Mus musculus: one gene and its partners. The protein of the gene in region 1 interacts with the protein of each later gene in a biochemical or structural test. Links are inferred from orthologs where the notes say so. Each region holds a gene or a part of one and is shown on either strand. Other genes may lie near its edges.

The links.
Region 2: the proteins of Dab1 (region 1) and Lrp1 form a complex in vitro, tested with the Homo sapiens proteins (2 studies listed by BioGRID). The link is inferred for Mus musculus from reciprocal best matches to the Homo sapiens genes DAB1 and LRP1.
Region 3: the proteins of Dab1 (region 1) and Lrp2 form a complex in vitro, tested with the Homo sapiens proteins (2 studies listed by BioGRID). The link is inferred for Mus musculus from reciprocal best matches to the Homo sapiens genes DAB1 and LRP2.
Region 4: the proteins of Dab1 (region 1) and Lrp8 form a complex in vitro, tested with the Homo sapiens proteins (2 studies listed by BioGRID). The link is inferred for Mus musculus from reciprocal best matches to the Homo sapiens genes DAB1 and LRP8.
Region 5: the proteins of Dab1 (region 1) and Vldlr form a complex in vitro, tested with the Homo sapiens proteins (2 studies listed by BioGRID). The link is inferred for Mus musculus from reciprocal best matches to the Homo sapiens genes DAB1 and VLDLR.

The regions. Positions count from the first base shown.
Region 1 is NC_000070.6:103,618,301-103,622,300, forward strand, and holds the start of Dab1 (disabled homolog 1), read left to right. Parts: upstream 1-1,199; 5' UTR 1,200-1,445; intron 1,446-4,000. UniProt on the Homo sapiens protein: Signaling adapter of the reelin-mediated signaling pathway, which regulates the migration and differentiation of postmitotic neurons during brain development.
Region 2 is NC_000076.6:127,548,141-127,551,651, reverse strand, and holds part of Lrp1 (prolow-density lipoprotein receptor-related protein 1 precursor), read left to right. Parts: intron 1-590; coding exon 591-707; intron 708-925; coding exon 926-1,045; intron 1,046-1,344; coding exon 1,345-1,467; intron 1,468-1,618; coding exon 1,619-1,744; intron 1,745-2,218; coding exon 2,219-2,335; intron 2,336-3,007; coding exon 3,008-3,114; intron 3,115-3,204; coding exon 3,205-3,337; intron 3,338-3,511. UniProt on the Homo sapiens protein: Endocytic receptor involved in endocytosis and in phagocytosis of apoptotic cells. Required for early embryonic development. Involved in cellular lipid homeostasis.
Region 3 is NC_000068.7:69,583,220-69,587,194, reverse strand, and holds the start of Lrp2 (low-density lipoprotein receptor-related protein 2 precursor), read left to right. Parts: upstream 1-1,165; 5' UTR 1,166-1,301; coding exon 1,302-1,380; intron 1,381-3,975. UniProt on the Homo sapiens protein: Multiligand endocytic receptor. Acts together with CUBN to mediate endocytosis of high-density lipoproteins. Mediates receptor-mediated uptake of polybasic drugs such as aprotinin, aminoglycosides and polymyxin B.
Region 4 is NC_000070.6:107,801,115-107,805,068, forward strand, and holds the start of Lrp8 (low-density lipoprotein receptor-related protein 8 isoform a precursor), read left to right. Parts: upstream 1-1,144; 5' UTR 1,145-1,298; coding exon 1,299-1,404; intron 1,405-1,770; exon of another isoform or gene 1,771-2,004; intron 2,005-2,136; coding exon 2,137-2,256; intron 2,257-3,954. UniProt on the Homo sapiens protein: Cell surface receptor for Reelin (RELN) and apolipoprotein E (apoE)-containing ligands. LRP8 participates in transmitting the extracellular Reelin signal to intracellular signaling processes, by binding to DAB1 on its cytoplasmic tail.
Region 5 is NC_000085.6:27,215,539-27,219,820, reverse strand, and holds the start of Vldlr (very low-density lipoprotein receptor isoform b precursor), read right to left. Parts: upstream 2,802-4,282; 5' UTR 2,207-2,801; coding exon 2,125-2,206; intron 1-2,124. UniProt on the Homo sapiens protein: Multifunctional cell surface receptor that binds VLDL and transports it into cells by endocytosis and therefore plays an important role in energy metabolism.

The DNA of each region.
Region 1 (4,000 bases):
AGGTGTTCCGGTTGTTGTTATTGTGATAAAACACTGACCAAAGCCAACTTAGTGGTGTTACTTCATCTTATAGGTTTCAGTCCATCATTGAGGGAAGTCAGAGCAGGGACCTGGAGTAGGAATGGAAGCACAGACCATAAAGGGACTCTGCTTACCTGCTTGCTCTCCATGGCTTGTTCAGCTTACTTCTTAGACAACCCAAGACACCTGCCCAGAAGTAGCTCCACTCACAGAAGGCTGGCCTCTCCCACATTAACCCTCAATCAAGAATGTGGCCGGAAGACACGCCCACAGGCCCATATAATGGAAGCAACATCTCAGTCTGAGGGTCTCTCTTCCCAGGTGACTCAAGTTTCGTGTCAAGTTGACAAAAGCAAGCTAAGTAGCATCTCCAGTCACTTCACATTGCATGCCACCATCTATTTCAATCTTGGTGATCAATACCACTCAACAACTCTTCTTGATTTACTTATTTTCTGTGTCTTCACTGGAGAGAAAAGTCCAAGCCAAGCTGTACTCTACTCTATAAAATAGGGATTGGCATAGAACCGAGGTACGCTCACGGCAAATATTTACTGGGTTGTTGCTGACAGTTGTTGAGGGAAGGCAGGCTTGCATTGGAAGAAGGAAGAAATTAAGCTTTGTTTAGGGAGTTCCACTCTGTTTATCTCATTATATTCTCACCACAACCTCACAGAAAAGCTCATCTGATTCCCATTTTATTGATGAAGCAACAGGGACCCAATCCTCTGGTGCGGGCTGCCTCTCTCAGTGCCCACAAGCCTGCTCCCAAGGCGGCATCTAGAAACCACGTGCAATCAGGAGGGTGCCTCTGTAGCAGTAACCTCCCGTGCAAAGACCTTCCCTGGGAAGTGGCAGTTGGAAATGAGTTTCCATAATAAACCTCTGTTGCTTGCCCTAAAGCTCAGACATTCTAGGGAGCAGAGAGCCTAAGGAGAGCGCTGCGGGGAGACCAGTGATGGTTATAGACGATGCTGTGGTGATTTAGGAGGGAGTGGCAATTGGGTGCTGAGGGTCCTTTCCTGAGCAGAGCCCACACTGTGGCCAGGTGCAGCCAAGCCACTCTTGCCGGCGCTCGTATCCTTAGTTAGGTGGCGAAATGCTGATGGGCTCTCCTATTCGGGGGAATGCGGTAGTGATGTATAAGGTATGAAAGATGTGGCCTGCAGAGAGCCGGCACTATCTCTACTGCTGCTGCTGCTGCCACCGCTGCCTTTGCTGCCGCCACTACTGCCGCCACTAGAGCTGCCGGGAGTGAGCCTCCCTTCTTCCAGATACCCAGCTCCGTTGCATCTCCCGCTCCCTGGCCCCGCACGGACCTCCCCGCCCCAGGGAACAAAAGCAGAGTCCGGTCGCCCTGTTCTGCAGCCAGAGGATGATGTGTCGAGAGGGCTGAGCAGAGTGTGGTCTTCAGCGGCTGGAAGGTAGGAGAGGGTGTTGCGCCTGGCGGCCGCGGCGTGGAAAGCTAGGGTGGGCGCGCCAGGGCAAGGATGGCTTCAGTCGTCCAGCCGTCGGGTGGGCGCCTCATGGACCCTGCAGGGTGGTGGTCTGCAGCGCCGCGGCCGCAATGCCCACTGCGGGCCGAGAGTCGCGTTCCCGCAGCCACGAGGGAGCCCCTGCATGGGGACTGGAGGCGGAGGAAAGAAAAGTCTGAAGCCCAAAGCCAAGCGGTGGTGGCTGCAGAAGGGCTGTCCGCAGCTCTTGGACTTGGTGGCGCGTTTCGCCGCGCTGAACGGCCAGGCGGCGGCCGCAGTGTGCGCAAAGTTTTGGGTAGCGCGCAAAGGCGCAGGCAAGGGCCGCGCACAGAGGGGCAAGTTGTGGCCAGAGAGCTAGGGCGACCCTCAGGACAACCAGCGGGGTTTGCCTAAGAAGGGGACAGGTGGATTCTGCTCCCCTCCAGCATAGAGGAGACTGGGTTGGAGCGGCGTCGTTTTAACCCTTTGGTCCCCGGGGGAAAACAACTTCATCCGTGTTGGAGCCTGCTGGACCCTGGCCGCTTTGAGGCTCCTGGTTTGATCCTCCTGTGGCCGTGCGCAATTCTCTGCTTCTGTCGCGTTTTCATTTCTAGCCTCTTAGGTTTTAGCTGGCCTGGGGTCTTTCCCTAGGTCTGTATCCCTTGGACCATTGCGTACATGTTTCTCTATCTCCTCGCTAGATTGACTCTTGGATGCTGCTTTGAAAAATGAAATGATTAATCAATTAGGTTAGTGGTCAATTAGGCATAACCTTGTAGGAAAATAATTATGTCGGGCTCTCAGCTTCCACCGGTGATGAGGTGGGAATCGAGCCCAGGTACGGGGGCTGTTCCCAAATAATAGTACTGGGGCGGGGGCGGAGGGGGGGGCGGTTGCGTTCTGGAATTTAAAATTAAGAGGATGGTGACCACCCACCAAGGTGGTGGGAGTCAACGGAGGAGTGTGTGTGTGTGTGTGTGTGTGTGTGTGTGTGGTGTGGTGTGGTTTGTGTGTGTGTGTCTGTGTGCGTGCGCGCTTGCTTCAGTTTTTGCTGAGAAAATTAACCCTTGACAGACTAGTCTGGGTAGACTTTTCAGGCAACATGGTGTATCCAACGGCTTGAAGGAAAGGTGTGTCCCCTTGCATGCCTGACCCCCTAACACACACACACACACACACACACACACACACACACACACACCCTTCCAAGCGGCTCCCTCTGCGAATCGCATCACCTCGTAGTGGCTTTGCTGAGCTTCGGGAGGCTGAGTTTAGGGGACTGCCTCTTAGTTTCATGTAGAAAGAATCGCATCATTGCAGACAGAGCTTTCTGTACACTGCTTAGCAGAACACATATCTCCCCCGATTGTGTTAAATAAAACCGTTATTAAATGGGAGCAAAAGGGAGACAATCTGTTTCCAGGGCTGGGAAGTTCTGCTGCATAGTGAGGCTTTTTTTTCCCCCTTTCTTTTTTGGAACCACTGGTGGGGTTTGGCACTGCAGTATTACAATACAGCCATATTAAAAAGGTCTTCAGAGCTTAGAGCCCTCCACCGCCGCAGGCTCCTCTTCTATACACTTCCATGATCAACAGCTCCTTTGCAGGGTGCATGCAGTGGATTCCAAAGGCAACGTGCTTTTTAACCCCTTTATGTGTCGAGCTTAAGCTGCTTCTGTCTGTTTAGGCACCTGCTTATAAGGTAGTAGAATCCTATTCAGAAGGCAAAAACCTGGAGGTGCGTCCTCAGATAGACAAGATTTTGCAACAGGTCCTATGTTTGAGGTTTCGAGTAATGGATCCCTTTGGCGTTCGATGTCAGGGCTCCCTTCTCTAGCGGTGATGTGATGAGGGCTGGACCCAGTGGTCTCACAGCGCCTGCAGTGCTGACAGTAGCTGGTTCTGAATTTTATGGCTGCCCCCCTCCCCACACCCCCATTGCTGTGCTGGATGGGAGGAGTAGCTGGCCAGTACACTGTGACAGCAGGGCTACCTCCTTCTGAGTGCAGAGAGAGAGGGTAGGCTGGGGCTGGCTGGGGCTGGCTGGGGCTGGCTGGGGCTGGCTGGGGCGACTTAGCAAATAGGAATTGGTCAGCTAGAAGAGTGCCTAGTGATACTGGTATCCAGGGGCAACTGCTGGCCATAGTGGCTACCCTTCAGCACTTGCAGTTTGTCGAGATTTTTTCCCCCTAGAAGTTGGACTCAGCCAGTTGCTTTGCAGTCATGATATTTGTTGTAGATTCTGGTACTAGCCAAGACCTTGCTCTTTTTTCTAAAATTGACTTTTTTTTTCTTTAATAGTAGGAAGAGATATGGGAAGAGAAAGAGGAGAGAGGGAAAGAAAGATGCAAAGGGGTGGGGGTGGCATGGCATTGGTGAGAAGAGACAGAGGAAGCTCAAGATTTCAGATATGCCAGAGAGTGGGAAAGAGGTGGGGAGAGAAGTCGGGAGAAGGGGATTTGGGGACAGGAACAGAAAACAGTAACATTAGCACCAAGACAACAGTGCTTGTATGAAGCAAGTCTT
Region 2 (3,511 bases), on another chromosome or scaffold:
CCCCAAGGGATGGAGACCTCAGTGGCCTATTTGCTCCCTGCTCTTTCTTTTTTAGTGTGTGCGTGCATGCATGTGTGTATATCTATGTGTGTGTGTGTCTGTGTGCATGTGTGTGCCTGCATTTGTGTGTGTGCCTATGTGTCTGTGTGTCTGTGTACATGTGTGTACCTGCATGTGTGTGTGCATGTATGTGCTTTTGTGGATGTGCCTACGTGTGCATGTGTGTGTGCACGTATGTCTGTGTGAATGTGTGTCTGTGTGTATGTGTATATCTGTGTGTGCATGTGTATGTGTGTGCCGTGTGTGCCCATGTGAGTGCGTGTCTGTGTGTGCCTGCATGTATGTGTATGTGTGTGTGTGTGTGTGTGTGTGTGTGTGTGCCTGAGTGCCTGCATGTGTGCAGTGTGCATTTGCCAGTGCAGGCATGCACATGCTGTGGTGAAATGTATGACAGTCCGGGGAAAACTCTCAGAAATTGGCTTTCTCTTTCCTCACTGGGTTCTGAGGATCAGGCTTAGGTGGCAACACCCACCAGGCCATCTTGCTGAACCCATCTCCTACTCCTAACACTGAGTCTCCTTTCTCGGCAGCCGAGTTCAAGTGCCGCCCAGGCCAGTTCCAGTGCTCCACCGGCATCTGCACCAACCCTGCCTTCATCTGTGATGGGGACAATGACTGCCAAGACAATAGTGATGAGGCCAATTGCGGTAAGGAGCTGCCTAGATACCAACCATTCCTTCCGCAGCACTTGGGGGTTCAGAGAGTGAGGATGTGCCAGCCTGCAGCAGCTTTCTCTCTAGGCTACATTTCTGGGCTTAGGACCGCAGTCCACCCATCCTCTACAAGGGACAGGGAGGCACCTGCCTGCCCGCCCTGAGTTCCCTCCTTCTCCCTCTCCCTCTCCCTCTCCTTCTCCCTCTCCCAGACATTCACGTCTGCTTGCCCAGCCAATTCAAGTGCACCAACACCAACCGCTGCATTCCTGGCATCTTCCGTTGCAATGGGCAGGACAACTGCGGGGACGGCGAGGATGAGCGGGATTGCCGTATGTGCCAGGTTCTGGGAAGTGGGTGGGGGACGTAGCTGGCACACACCGTTGTTGCCCACTGCTTCCCATAGAGGCGCTGAGTTAGCTCTATTAGCGGGGGACATCAGTCACATTGGACATTTCCTGGTTTGCTCGTAAAAACACTGTGCTCGGTATGGACAGTCTGCAGATCCAGGCTGGGGATAATCTATTCCTTCCTGACTGAGACCAGGGCCAGGCTTTCTGGGGAGCGCGTGGGGGACCAAAGCTGTGAGGAGATAAAGGGTAAGGTCCTCGTTCTCTGTTCCATCTTGCAGCTGAGGTGACCTGCGCCCCCAACCAGTTCCAGTGCTCCATCACCAAGCGCTGCATCCCTCGCGTCTGGGTCTGTGACAGGGATAATGACTGTGTGGACGGCAGTGATGAGCCTGCCAACTGTAGTGAGTTGTCCGTCGCCCCTGGGCCATCCTTCCTCACGGCCTCTGTGGCTCCATTACCCAGGCAGACAGACCCCTCCCTCGGCTGCCGTACCCTTGCCCAGTGGCTCTCTGGTGGGGACGACTCCTCCTCACCCATGCCGATGCCTTGCAGCCCAAATGACCTGTGGAGTGGATGAGTTCCGCTGCAAGGATTCTGGCCGCTGCATCCCCGCGCGCTGGAAGTGTGACGGAGAAGATGACTGTGGGGATGGTTCAGATGAGCCCAAGGAAGAGTGTGGTAAGCCCAGCCATCTTGAGAGGATGGGTGTTTGGGGTTCTGGGTAGAAAGAAGTTCAGTGGTTGACCTCTCTGGGCGGAGCCTCGACGTGACCCAGCGTGGGGCTCTTGTGGACCCCATAGAGCTGACACGGGAAGGAAGCTTCCCCTGCAGTGCCCACCACCTCTGAATCCTGCTCCTCTCCCTCTCTGCCCCTCAGAAGAGAACTGTGCAGAATCTCTACCCTCCTGTTCACCTGTCCCACCCCCCCAAATCAGCTGCCTTCCCCAAACACTTTGCTGGCCTTCCCCAGAACCTCCTGTAGATACCACACGGCAATTATCACTGCCTGAGCCCCAGAGCAATCTCTTTCGGGGGGCAATAACCACCTTCTCTCTGCCGCCGGTCTCACTTGTCTACCCTAGACTCTAACATCTGCCGCCCACTCCACCCCTGACCGCCCCAATATCTGCCTCCACATCTTGCCTCCCCCAGATGAGCGCACCTGTGAGCCATACCAGTTCCGCTGCAAAAACAACCGCTGTGTCCCAGGCCGTTGGCAATGTGACTACGACAACGACTGCGGAGATAACTCGGACGAGGAGAGCTGCAGTATGTCCTACGCCTTACCCTGCCCCATCATTTCCTTTCCCAGGCCTTGGCATCTCCCTCCTCAGCACCTCACCCCTTCTAACCCCCACCCCGCGCAAGAGGGTGGCCTCCAAGGGCAAGGGGTCAGGCACCCCTCAGCCGCGCTCTACCCTACTCTATGTCCTTGTACTTGAGCTTGTGACATTTCATCTCATCTCATGTTTCTCTCCATTTTCACACTGTCCTCTTGGGGTTGCAGAGGTAGGTGTCTCTGGTGTACCCCTGTTCCTGCCAGCTCTGCCTCTGCCTGGAGCCCCGCCCATCCCTGTGCTGTGCTTTTCTGCCCACCGTCCTTAACTGGCCTCTTCCCCAGACCTGGCGCTTGTCTCGGTGGTCTTGTTCTCCCCTCCCTCCCCTAAGTGATCTGTCCTAAGGACAGGACCAGGGACCCGTGCCCTCTCCCATGTGTCTGTACCTAATAGGATAAGTGTGAGTACCCTCCTGACCCAGCCAGTCTCGTGAGGACAGCCAGTTAAACACTGTCCGCCATTGGTTGAGTGTCTCAATCATTACACCAGTCGGCTGTGGCCTCTTCACAGACGGACGTAGGGATGAGCCTTGTGCTTGGGAGTTAGTATTTCTGAGGGCTGGAGATGCCCTGTGCCCACCCTGCTGGGACCTGTCTCTCCTCAGCACCTCGGCCCTGCTCTGAGAGTGAGTTTTCCTGTGCCAATGGCCGCTGCATCGCTGGGCGCTGGAAGTGTGATGGGGACCATGACTGTGCCGACGGCTCAGACGAGGTGAGGAGAGCTCGAGGAAAGGGGTGGTCTCGGAAGAATTAGGGCAGGACCCCAAGGGTCTGATTGGGCTGCTGGTCCCCATGCCCACAGAAAGACTGCACCCCCCGCTGTGATATGGACCAGTTCCAGTGCAAGAGTGGCCACTGCATCCCCCTGCGCTGGCGCTGTGACGCGGATGCTGACTGTATGGACGGCAGTGACGAGGAAGCCTGTGGCACTGGGGGTGAGTGAGCCCCTTCATCCTGGTGCCTCCACCCTCCCTGCCTTCCCCAGCCCACTGTGTGGCCCAGTTTAATCTTTTAATTCAGCCATTTGTTGGTACTGCAACAAACCCTTATTAAGCATATACTGCAAGCCAGGCATAGACCTAGTGTTGGAGCAGTAGACAAGACTCAGG
Region 3 (3,975 bases), on another chromosome or scaffold:
GGGAACCATAGAGTTCTCCCGAATTCCTGGTGTTTCTCTCATTATTGGCATTGCGGAGAAAACAACCCCTCCCCCAAGTTTTGTTTCGAAATGAACAGAACTGTAGGAGACGCTGTCTGGCATGACTGACACCTGACGCTTGGGGAGCCAGATAGTTATGGCCTCCAGAGCAATGATAGAATCTCCTCTCTGACTATAAAAACACAAGCTACCCCATCTGGGTAGCCTGCACCCTGTCAGGGGGAGGAGGGCCCCGAGGCAGCTTAGCGAGTTCACACCGAGGCAAGGAGGTCAGGCGGCTTGGCTCTGTCCAGCTTTTTTCTGGTCCTCCCTCCCTCCCTCCCTCCCTCCCTCCCTCCCTCCCTCCCTCCCTCCCTCCCTCCCTCCCTCCCTCTTCCCTTCTTTTTGAGACAGGTTCTTTCTACATAGCCCAGGCTGTCCTGGAACTGTGTGGACCAGGTTGGCCTCAAACTCACAGAGATCCACTTGTCTCTGTCTCCCGAGTGTTGAGATGAAAGACCCGCACTAAAACACCCTCTGCCTTTTCTTTTCTTCCCCCTTCTTTCTCTTCCCCTTTCCTTGCTCCCCTTTCCCCATTTGTTCTTTTTCTTTCCCTTTTCATCTTTTCTCTTTCTTTCTTTCTTTCTTTCTTTCTTTTTTTAGTCGCTGCTCTTGACTTCCCCCCTTTCTCCATTCCTTCCCACCGGTGATAACGTTTTAGAGTTTGTGTCCGTGGCCAATTTCTTCCTCGCCCCGTCTAGCCATCCCTCTGAGTGGCGAGGCCAAGCCCTTGCTCCGAATGTGAGCAGCGGCGATTATTGTCAGTGATTGAATAGGACCTTGGAGTGTGTGTGCTCGTGCGAGCGAGGGGTGGGCGCTCGCCAGCGTGGGAGGCAGTTTTGTGTTCCCGGAGCCTGTGCTCCTGGGTGAGAGCATGCACGAGCGAGCGCGCTTGTGGAGTGTGCATGTGCTAGCGCGCAAGTGTCCGAGGGCCCACTCCTCCCAGAGTCGCAAAGTGCAGGGGGCGGGCCGGGCAGTAGGGGGCCTGGCCCACTGGATTCCCGCATGCTAGTTCCGGGGCGGTCTGGTCTAGAGGGCTTTATGCACTGTCTGGAGGGTGGGGACTGGCGCGGGTAGAAAACGGGATGCCTCAGGCGCCGGGACCGGCTTTCTGCCTCTAGGAGCCAGCGACTGCTGCTGAGCAAGACTCCTGTTCCGGAGCGGAGTAACCTGCCTGTGCCCGCTGCGACGCGCGCCCACCTCCCGGGGAAGGAACGGCGAGGCCCGGGGCCGTCTCCGCGATGGAGCGCGGGGCCGCGGCGGCGGCATGGATGCTGCTGCTGGCGATCGCTGCCTGCCTGGCGCCAGTCAGTGGCCAAGGTAAGCGGTCACCTGCCCGCGCTACGCCACCATAGTCGCTGCGGAGCTGAGCCGGACGAGGGTGGGCGGCTGCGGAGCTGCTCCGGCTGAGCGCTCCGGTGACCCCAGGAGAGATGACTGCAGCGCCGCTTCTTGTACTGGTTGGGGAACGCGGACGCACCGGTTTCGGTGACAGCTCGTCCCACGGCTATCGTGCCTTTGTTCCCACGGGAATTAGTCCTGACCCTCAAGGCTTTCCAGGATGGAACCTGGAGTACGAGGGTCTCCCGCGTGGGTCTGCAGCTTTCTTCTGGCTGGGGCGGGGCGGTCCTCCACGCCGCTCCCAGCGCCGCTTTCCACCTGCAGCGTCCAGCCGGCGCGGGAGATCCGATCCCACCGTGCGCCAGGGGCCGCCGGCCAGAGCCTCCTTCCATCAGTGGCGAAACCCTGTCCCGCGGTGACCCCCATGAGACCGCATCTCATGATACCGATCGTTTACGAGCCCAGATAAGGCGGGGAGGTGGGATTGGCAGAGGAAGCGGCTGATACACTAGAGTACTTTTCTTGAAGGCTTTCCCTTTCCTACCCAGAGCGGGTGCTTTTGTGTTGATGAATGGAGCTGGTTAGCTGCGCCTGAGTTTGGGGACTGGAATGCAGAAAGTTTCTAAAGTGACTACAAACTTTTTCAAGTTGTCCGGGAGGTTTTTTTTTTTTCCTTCCCCGTGAAACAGGGAGAGAGAGGAAAGGGAGGAAATTATTTAGAATAGAAAACTATAAGAGAAGAAAATGAGAGACAAGTTGAAAGGAATGGAGAAAACGGGAAAGCAAAGTGAGGAAGGAGGGAGGGAGGGAGGGAGGGAGGGAGGGAGAGAGAGAGAGAGAGAGAGAGAGAGAGAGAGAGAGAGAGAGAGAGAGACTGACTCAAGGAGAACCCACGAGCTCTCTCCCTGGCTTTCGTTGCTAGGTAGCAGCCTGGTGCTGCGTGTGACCGACCACCAGACAGACAGAACGGACGCTGCAGCCTCTGCAGGGACTAATCTGTCTGTGGGGATGGGCCAGTCCCCACTTCCCCTCCCGCTCTTTCCCGTCGGACAACTTAATTGCCCTACAATAAAAATGAAACCCCTATTGTTGCAGGATTAGTCAAAGCAATAAATTGATTTCCCTAGATCACATATTGGGGTTGATGGGTGAGGACTGTGGAAGCCCCCATTTATAGAGAGGAGAGAGGGGAGGGCTTGTGGATGGGCCGTGGCATGTATTCAAATGGTTAATCTGCTTTCTTTCCTCAATTCTTAGCGTAAGCTCCTTAGAGGGAATCAAGTAAGTAATTATACAGCAGCTCCAGGCAGCACCCATCTCAGACTTCCTGGGAAGTTTGGGAGCGCCAACAAATCCACCAGGCTTTGCAAAAATCTTTCGAAAAGGAGGGGTGGGCGGCAAGAGAAGATGTCTAACAGTTCTTCCTTTGAACACCTTTCTACAGTATTGGAAACGCAGAAAGGAGACTTACTGTTATATTGTGTGTGCGCCCGCGGTAGGGAGAGTGCTTAGGGTTATATATCATGCGCTAAATATAGCCCTAGGGTTTAGTGTACTTTTCTGTTCCTGTCTGGAGGGAAAGGTTGCTTACATTCTTGAGCTGATGTCCCTTTACCACCGGAACATGCATTCTTCTCCCTGTTTTTTGGTGTCACCAAATACTGTGTACCTAGATTTCCTCAAGTTCTCATCCATGTGAATTACGGAGAAAAAGTGGGAAGCATTTTTCAAGTTTTTAGCGGATAATGCAATAATCACCTAACATATGGCTGAGAGCACATACAAGCATACATACATGCACACATACACGTGTATGACATGTGTATATATTCTTCAGGAATTTGTTTATTTGTTTGTTTATTTATTTATTTGAGACAGGGTTTCTCTGTAGTCCTGACTGTCCTGGAACTTGCTCTGTTGATTAGGTTGGCCTGGAACTCAGATCTGCCTGCCTCTGCCTCCTGAGTGCTGGGATTGATGGCATGCATCGCCCGCCCTGGCATTCTGGGTAACAAACTAGAGCCCAAGTGTCACCATTTTTAGTTTTGCTATTTGATTATTGTAATTAATTTTTTTTAAAATGAACCAGTGTTTCCATGTTTAGCCCAGGCTGGCCTGAAGTTATGACTCAGGCTGTTTGTGATCTTCTGGTCTCATTTCTTTTCCAAACACACACACAAAATGTAATTTTGCCTTTATTCATGTGTGTGTAAGCGTGCACGCGAGTGCACATATCATAAACATGTGGAAAGTAGTGTGGATCCCAGAATGCAGTTCAAGTGGTCAGGCTTGGCGTCGAGCATTTTCCTGATAAATCATTTTGATAAATGCATTTTGAAGTGATTTTTTTCTTTCCTTTTCATTTTTTAAGAATCTGTCCCCCACTTAAATTCTTTAATCCAATACCAATTTGGTTATGCCTTTTGTGATGATTGTATCTTGAGTGGGACCTGTAATACACAGGCTACATTTGTTTTTGTTTTTTTCTAACTCTGGTCTCTGCAACCTTGTTTGCTGTTGTATTTATTTCAAGGTGGTCTTCTGTTCCTATGCTTGGAATTCTTTTTGGCTGTA
Region 4 (3,954 bases), about 4.2 Mb from region 1:
TCACAGCTTCCACGATTGCTTGCTTGCTTTCTCTCTCTTTCCCTTTCTTTCTTTCTTTCTTTCTTTCTTTCTTTCTTTCTTTCTTTCTTTCTTTCTCTCTCTCTCTCTCTCTCTCTCTCTTTCTCTCTTTCTCTCTTTCTCTCTTTCTCTCTTTCTTTCTTTCTTTCTTTCTTTCTTTCTTTCTTTCTTTCTTTCTTTCTTTCTTTCTTTCTTTCTTTCTTTCTTCCTTTTTTTTTTTCTGAAGAGAGAGGGCCTATTTAACACTGGGCCTTGGCACCCTCGCGCGGGCCTGGTTTACAACCCGTGCCCAAGAATCACACTCTGAGATTGTTGTGCTGCTGGGCCAGGCTCACCGGCAGGTGGCTGAAATCCAGTCTAAGCGTTGCCCTTCTGACAAGGAAGAGTAGGGGAGGTGGGGTCGCACTGCTAGAGGAGGGGCCTTCTTTGTGCAGAGGCTAGTGGAGCCCAGAGACACTAGATGTGCTGCCTCTGGCGGCAAGGATGACACATCTGGGCCTCCACAGTCCTTGCCCTTCTCTGCAGCAGCAAGGGTTACCTTGCCATGTCTTCAGGGCCCTTGATCTGCTCCTCTGCGGGGTCCAACAGAGAAGGATGAATATGGATAACAGTCTGTGCACCAGACACTCACCTCTCTCAGGATCACACAGTGATAATCACAGATGCACACGGTCGCAGAAAGCGACTCATCTAATCTGAAGCTATGACAGGTCTTGCCCAGCACCCCTAGATTCTCCCTGGCAATGCTTTCAGCCTTCCCGCGCTCTGCGCGTTCACTGCAACGGCTTGTGAGTCTCCTTCTCCCGAGCTCGGGCTCTCCTCCATACGCCTCCTTCTCTCACCCTCTTGCCACCTCCACGGGGAAACCAGGGGGGCCAGAGCCTAGCCGGGCTCGTCCTAGCGTCTACAGCTCTTAGCACCTGCGCGCACACAGAGCAGGATCATGGGGCTCGGACCGAGAGAGGAGGGGACAAGGACAGGCGGGGGAGGAGAAGAGGCGGCGGCGGGAGGAGCGTGGGGCGGAGGCGGCGGCGGGAGGGAGCGCGCGCGCCGGCGGCGGCTGCCCAGGGCCGGGGCCGCGCGCCCAGCCTGAGCCCGCCCCGCCGCCGAGCGTCACCGAACCTGCTTGAAATGCAGCCGGGGAGCCGGGGCGGGCGGCAGCGGTGGTGGTGGCGGCGGCGGCAGCGGCAGCCCCGGCGCCGCGGCAAGGACTTGGCGGGCTGAGGCGCGGCGGCGGCGCGGGGGTCTCGGGGCGCGGCGGCCGGAGCCCCGGGCCCGCTATGGGCCGCCCAGAACTGGGCGCGCTCCGGCCGCTGGCGCTGTTGCTGTTGCTGCTGCTGCAGCTTCAGCATCTCTCCGCAGCGGATCCGCTGCCGGGCGGCCAAGGTGCGTACGGCGCTTCCCGGGCCGGCTCGCAGCCGCCAACCAACAAAGCGCGGCCGGCGGTGGGGGTTGCTGTACGGCGAGGTCCCGATAGAGAGGCTCCGGGGACCCTAGCTCCCTGGATTTGCCTTGGACCTCCTCCCCGCTACCCCCACGGTTTTGGTTACCGAAGCTCTACCCCAGCTCCGGGCACCCTCTTAATGGGGGATGGGCGCCGGGCACCCCCCCCCCGGCCCGTGAACTTTGCGGGGGGTAGTCCTTCAGGGTCTGGGGTTTGGTTTAATTTGACACGCGCGCTCCATAGCGGCGATGAGCGAAGTGGTACAGTCTTTTCTGACAATGCGTTTCCGGGGACCCCTGTGGGCCGAGGAGACTGACAGGTTGTGAAGGGACTGAGCCCCTGCACCGGGTGCGTGTCGCCAGTGTGCGGGGCTTCCCGCAGACTAGGTTTGTGTGGACCTGACTTGGCGTTGTGTGTAAGGGTGAATGTGTCTGAAGGCGGGGTATAGCCACGGGCCGTTAAGCGCTTGTCGGGTCTCGCTGTGCCATCAGTCGGTCCTGCAGTGGAGGACCCGTGGCATCCTGTCCTTTCTCGGAATTAAGGTGCTTGGAGATCCAGAGCTCACCGATATCTCCCCCTTTCCCATACCCGCTGGACTTCTCGGCAGCCAGGGCTGCAGGGTGGGGAGCGGGCTCCTGTGCAGTGACCCAGCTCACCGCCCCCAACCCCCGCAGGGCCAGTCAAGGAGTGTGAAGAGGACCAGTTTCGGTGTCGGAACGAGCGCTGCATTCCCTTGGTGTGGAGATGCGATGAGGACAACGACTGCTCGGACAACAGCGACGAGGACGACTGCCGTGAGTCGCGGCGACCAGGGGAGGGGAAACGGGGGGGGGGGGGGATCATGCTCCGCTGCGCACGTGGCTGCATCCGTCATGGGGCCACCTGCCCCAGGCTGGCGGCCTTGTTCTGGGATGGGTGGCTCAGCTGTCGGCGGGAGCTGGGTGGCAGGCGTGTCCTGCTTAGGGTGGAGCCCAGCGCGGCTTGCTGAAGCTACTAGCCCGAGACTGTGGGCGTGGACGCGGCAGCCCCTGCACACCTCTTAGCTCTATGGATCGGATCCCCAATCTGGGCCTCACTGGGAGCGCGCACTTCAAAGTTCCACGCAGCTCGGGCCACGAGGGGCTTTTCCTTGCTCGGTTTTATGAATGAATGGGCTCCCCGGGGCCACTGATTGGCTGCGCAAGGACCACCCCATAGGCCTGTGGCCGGAGCGGCCAATCCTGGGGCTGACGGTGTGCTGTAAAGGGCTCTAGGCCCTGCCCTGGCCCGCCCCGGCCGCACCCCCGCGCGCATCCTCCGGGTGGTAGGCTCAGGTCCTGGTCACAGTCTGCTGCCTTTCTGCCGAGTCACCCTTCAGAGAGCGTTTTCCTCCTGCCAGCCTAGTCTGGGTGTGAGTCATGGGGCCAACAGCAAGGAGGGGCTCAGGAGGAAGAGTGTGTTTCCTGGAAGCCACCGGAGCAACGGCAGTGAAGGCAGGCCAAATGCTAACCCCACTGCCTTTGCTGAGCGTGGCCTTTGTACACCCTGTGCAACCGGTGGAAGTTCCCCCTTGTGCGGGCGCGTGAGGGGTGTCTTTGGGGCCAGCGGCAATGGAGTCAGCAGGCGTTCTCTGCTGTGAAAGGAATTTAGTTCCTGGTACCAAGAACCTACACTCTTCTAGCCACGTCTTCCTAGGAGGCCTTTCAGTTGTCATTACAGAGGCCTGCTGTCTGCCTGCCGATGTTAGGTGTACAGGATCAGGCCGGCCGGCTCTGCAGTGTCGGAACACAGTGACAGAATGTGGAGGACACCAGGTGGGCACACACCAAGCATTCAGGAACGGGAGGCTGAGCAACAACTCGGGAGCAGTCTGTTAAGTCCTTGAGGCTTCCTGGTTTAACATTTTTTTGGGGTGGGGTACATTTGTAAAGCATGTATGTGAAGATAAGAGTAAAACTTTCGGGAGTCAATTCTCTCCTACTTTGTTGGGTCTCTGCCTCCAACTTAGCATCCTCCAGCTTGTCTGCGATGCCTCCACCCGCCCAGCCGTCTTATTGGTTCTCATGGAGCTCACAGGCAAGCAGAGATCTTCCTTGAGTTCTTTTGACTGTTCACTTGCTGGTCAGCCTGGCAGTTCTCTCTGGTCTAGCTTAGACCAGACTTTCGGGCATCAGAGCCTGACTGCCTCAGTTTCCCATTTGAGTTGTAACTACAGCCTGTGGTGGACTAACACTCTTCACAGAGGTTTATGCTACAGATGAAAACAGGCTCCAGGGTTGAGTTACCTGCTCTGTGGCTACTGAGTTGCCAAGTGGAAGCCTGGTCTTAGGCATCTTCTACCAGAGTTCTTAGCCTAATCCTTGTTCTATGCTATGGCTGTGGTTGGGTAAAATATCAAGAGGGGATTTCATGCCTAGGAGTTGTTCTGGTTTTCTTAGAGGGGTGCACACAGGACAGGGTGCAGAAATAGAAACCTTGTATCGTATCCCCTTAGGTCTTTAAAACACTAGTCT
Region 5 (4,282 bases), on another chromosome or scaffold:
CAGAAAAATCAGTCTGCATGTTTTGGGACTTTGAACTTAGGACACTACTGTGGGTTCACTTATGGTCAACCAACTCCAAGTCTGCTGTAGTTCAGAAAGAACTGCCTCTCCCACTCTGGCTGCTTAGGTTTGTGCCTGGTTCTCTCTTCCACTTTTTACAGCACCACCATAGCCCACTTGCAGTAAAGGAGAAACAAAGGCTATCCCCACTTTCCTGATCCCAGCTCAACAACTTCTGGTGTTGGACTAGCTCCTTGAAGCAGTCTGGATGCTTTCCGACCACTCCGTAAAAAACAGCACCTGATGGAAAGTTAGCACTTTAAACATTCCAAGAATCCAAAAGGTTCTGCAGCTAAGGAGACTCCTTTCTCCCAACTCCCCGGATCACAGTCAGTAATGGATTTTATGCATTCGTGTTTTGAAATACTACAAAATATATAGCCCGAGTCAAGTCACTCTTCTGAGAGATGGTTTAATAAGTTAACATTACTCATCCATTAATGATTAATGTCAGCGTCTGAAATGTTCTGTTAAGCAGGGCTTCTCTGGGCACAGAGGTTTGTCACAGGAAGGATTCTAGCGTCACGATACCTGGGCCCTTTTCAGAGTGCAGCTGGAGAAAGCGCCAGAGGGAAAGGCCCCTCTGAGCCTGGCTGATCTTAAAGGTAACCCAGCTGGGGCAGCTCAATTAACTCCGCGTAGACACGTGACCAAGCTAAACGCAATCCAGCTACCAGCCAATCGCATGGGGCAGAAAAGCCCTGCCCAGCTTCTCACGCTCCGGACAGCGGAACCAAAGGCCCAGGGGCGCTGGGAGACTTAAACACCCCAGCATAGCTCGACAGACAGCTTGACCACACACTTGAAAGTTCGCTCTCACTCCAGGACACACGTGACCGCACGCAGGCGGGCCTTCTAAGCTACCCGGCGACAGGAGATGTGGATTGTGGACTATTTAGAGCTGGGACAGCGTTCTGCCCTAATTACCTAGAGCTGGTTGGCAAGCAAGCACTTTGGTGTCACCTCTTAAGACCTCTAAGACCTCTTCAGTGGCCCGCCAAGGATCAGACGCGGACCTTGTTAGGAAGGCATCTTATCACCTGCTCTGGAAAGTTGTGTGACCCAAGATGGGGTGCTGGAAACACACAGGGCTCCAAAGCCAGTGTGCCGACCCCCTGGGACTCGACAGTAGTCACCCCGCCCTCCCCAAGCTCCAGTCACACGCTCCAGCTCCACACCTTCGGGCCGTATTGTGCAGAATAAAGGCTAATTACAGTCACTACACTGGGACTCAGTTTCTCTGGGGGAAAGTGTTGCCCAGAATGAGGCTCGGCAAAGTAACCTGATTAAGTCTTGATCCCACTCCCCTCCCCCGTTCAGTTATCTCAGAGACCCCAGAGGTTTTTAAAAGCCGCAGTAGCTGCGGAATCCCCGGGGATGGGAGAAAGAAAAGCACTCGGAGGACAGTCCAGTTGAAAGCCACTCTTGGAGCCCGAGAGACGGCCCGGCGCCTGGGGAGTCTCAGTCCCGGGCGCAGGCTGCGTACTTGTCATGGCTCGGCCTCCAGGCTGCCGCCCACCGAACGTGCGCTTGCTCACGGCAGCGCGAGGACTCCCGGCTCGGCCGGCACCTGGCGCCCGGTGTCCTCGGAGACGCCCACCTTCACCCACTGTGCGCTCTCAACCCTGCTTAAGTCTGAGGGGCGCACTCGGGCTTCCAGGCCCCGTGCTCTGCCACGGTCCTAACAGCCCGCCTGGCAGAGGAGGCAGAACCATTGTTCAGTGGCTCCAAAGCCCACATCCCCTAGCCCTTGTCAATGGGGGGTGAAAACCATGTAAAACAGAGGTTCTGGGAAGAAGGGGGACACAGAAGAATGACAACAAGTTCAAGGGACGCTTTAGGACACCCTAAACCCCACCGTCCCCCGGGCCTGGCTCCCAGTAACCTCGGCTCTGACAGCTCAGAGGCGCCACCCGGGTGGGGAGGGGAGGCAGGAGAGGAGCGTGGAGAGGCGCCTGCTAGGAGGGGATGGGCAAGAGGAGCCCCGGGGTCCCCCAGAACGCGGCGATCGCGGACGCCTCGGCTTGTTTCGGGCCGAGTGCGGAGGGGCGCGTCCCCACTCACCGCTTGCAGTGGCGCCGCTGTCCCGGGGCGCCCAGCACAGCGCGAGCAGCAGCCACAGCGCCCAGCGCGCGGACGTGCCCATGCTGCCCGCCCGGATGGTGCCTCCGTCGCGCCGTCGTTGTCGCCGTTCGCTCCGCACAACAAGTTACCAGCCCTTCGGAGAGGAAGAAGGAGGTGGGGGCGGGGAGGGAGGAGACGAGGAGGAGGGGGAAGGAGTGAAGAGCCGGGAGCACGGAGAGCACGCAAGGAGCGGGCACCCTTTCCCTGCAACTTGCACACTCTACTCCCCGCCAGCCACCCACCCAACCACCCACCCGGTCACCTCCCCCGCCGCGGCCGCGGTGTGCGCGCGGACCCTGCGGGCGGAAAATAATGCAGGCGTTGCAGAGAAGGGGAGGGAGAGGGGAGGGAACGGCGCGGGAGGAGGGGGCGGGGAGCCCGTTCGCCACCGAGGACAGCTCAAGTGAGCGGTTTGGGGGCAACCACCCGGGCGGCCGCAGGAGCGCGGCCGAGCGGCGCGGGGACCCCAGCGGGGGAGCTCAGCCCAGCAGCTCAGGCACGCACCGCTCTCCCGCGCGCAGTGAGGAGGGTGCGGGGGCAAGTGGCAGCGTGCGTGCGTGAGTGGCTGGGGCTGGGGCTGTCGCCGCCGCCATCCGGATGGCTCCAGGGGCTCGACTGCTCCGCGCGTTGGCCCGGGGCTCACGGGGGACCCGGGGCGGCCGCTGGTTGGCTCGCGCACCGTCCTCACCTCCAATCCCGGGTGCCTGTCCTAATTTCCTGATCCAGGGAACCTGCGGCCGCAGCAGCTGTGCGCTCCCTAGCTCCCTACAGTTGCTACTGTACCCTCCTGGCGCCTTGGCTAGGAGCGCTGATGCAACTATTGCTGCTCTTGCCACCGCCTCCAGGCTTGATGGGGCTGGCAGTTGAGGGGTCTGGGGGGCAGCAAGGAACCCTTTTCCTCCCTCTCCTGAGCCCCTAGGAAGGGCTGATGTAGTGAGGTCGGTAGGTAGCATCTTCCGGGGGACTCTTCTTTCCAACCTGAAAGTGATGAAGAGGAGGGGTGCGAAAGCTCCGCTGTTCTGCTGTGGGGTTCGGAGTCCCATCTCAATGGCAAGCTGAGATGCCATTTTGTTAAAAATTAAATGTGGCTTTAAGTAAGAGTGTGTGAAAGAGAAAGAGAGAAAGAACAAGAGCGCTCCCGCGGTTGTGGCTTGTCCTCTGTAATAGAACAAGACTAAAATAACCGAGTCTGGGATGGGGAGGAGGGAAATTGCCAGCGCAGCTCTGCATTCTCTCATCAACGATTAGAGTTAATTGCTAATTGCACAAAATGATAGTTTGAGGGCCTGTAATTAAAAGCTTAACCTTTTTCTGGTTGGAGGAAGGGGACCCCGGTAGATTTATTCTTGGTATAGTTTGTAACGTTCAATTATAAGCATTGTGGAGGGAAAGAAGTCAACCCTCCCAGAGAGGATAGATTGGAGGGAGGTGGGTGCCAGACAGGACCTAAGTTTATGGTTTGTTCTTAGTGTACTTCAGTTTTCTTGAACACATCGCCTTGGTTGAGATGCTTTCTGTGGTATACCACAGATTTTTCCAAATTATTTCACCTGTTAATATGTGTGTATGTGCTTCTGTTTTATAAGTTGCTGTACCTCGAATGAATCAAAGTTGACAGATTTCAGATTCCATGTCCTAGCTTCCTTCTGGCATTGTAATGTCACCTTGGTTCTCTTGAGCAGTTCTCTGGGGACAGTCTACTAGGAGAGATGTTCTCATGTACCCAGGAGACCCTGGGGGTAATTCTCAGCCAGGGTACATTTTGATCGGTGTAATTTAGCCTCATTGTGATGGATAATCTCACATGCAGATGGGGTCTTTCAAAGCTGCTCACTGTGGATGCTGTTGTGTATAATCAGAGGGTAGGAGATGGGCGGAAACTGCATGGTGAACACGTGATCACAGCCAGTACCAGTCCACAGACCAAGTTTGAGGGGGATGGTCTAACTTTCGTATCCCTGGGGCTTGAAAAGCTCATAGTCACTTTACACCTGATGAAATGGGTGGGGGACATAGGTGAAGTCAATAAATAGTCAATATGAACAGGCTCCATAGTTAACTGAGACGTCACAAGCTTGTTTTCAATGTTTTACTTGAG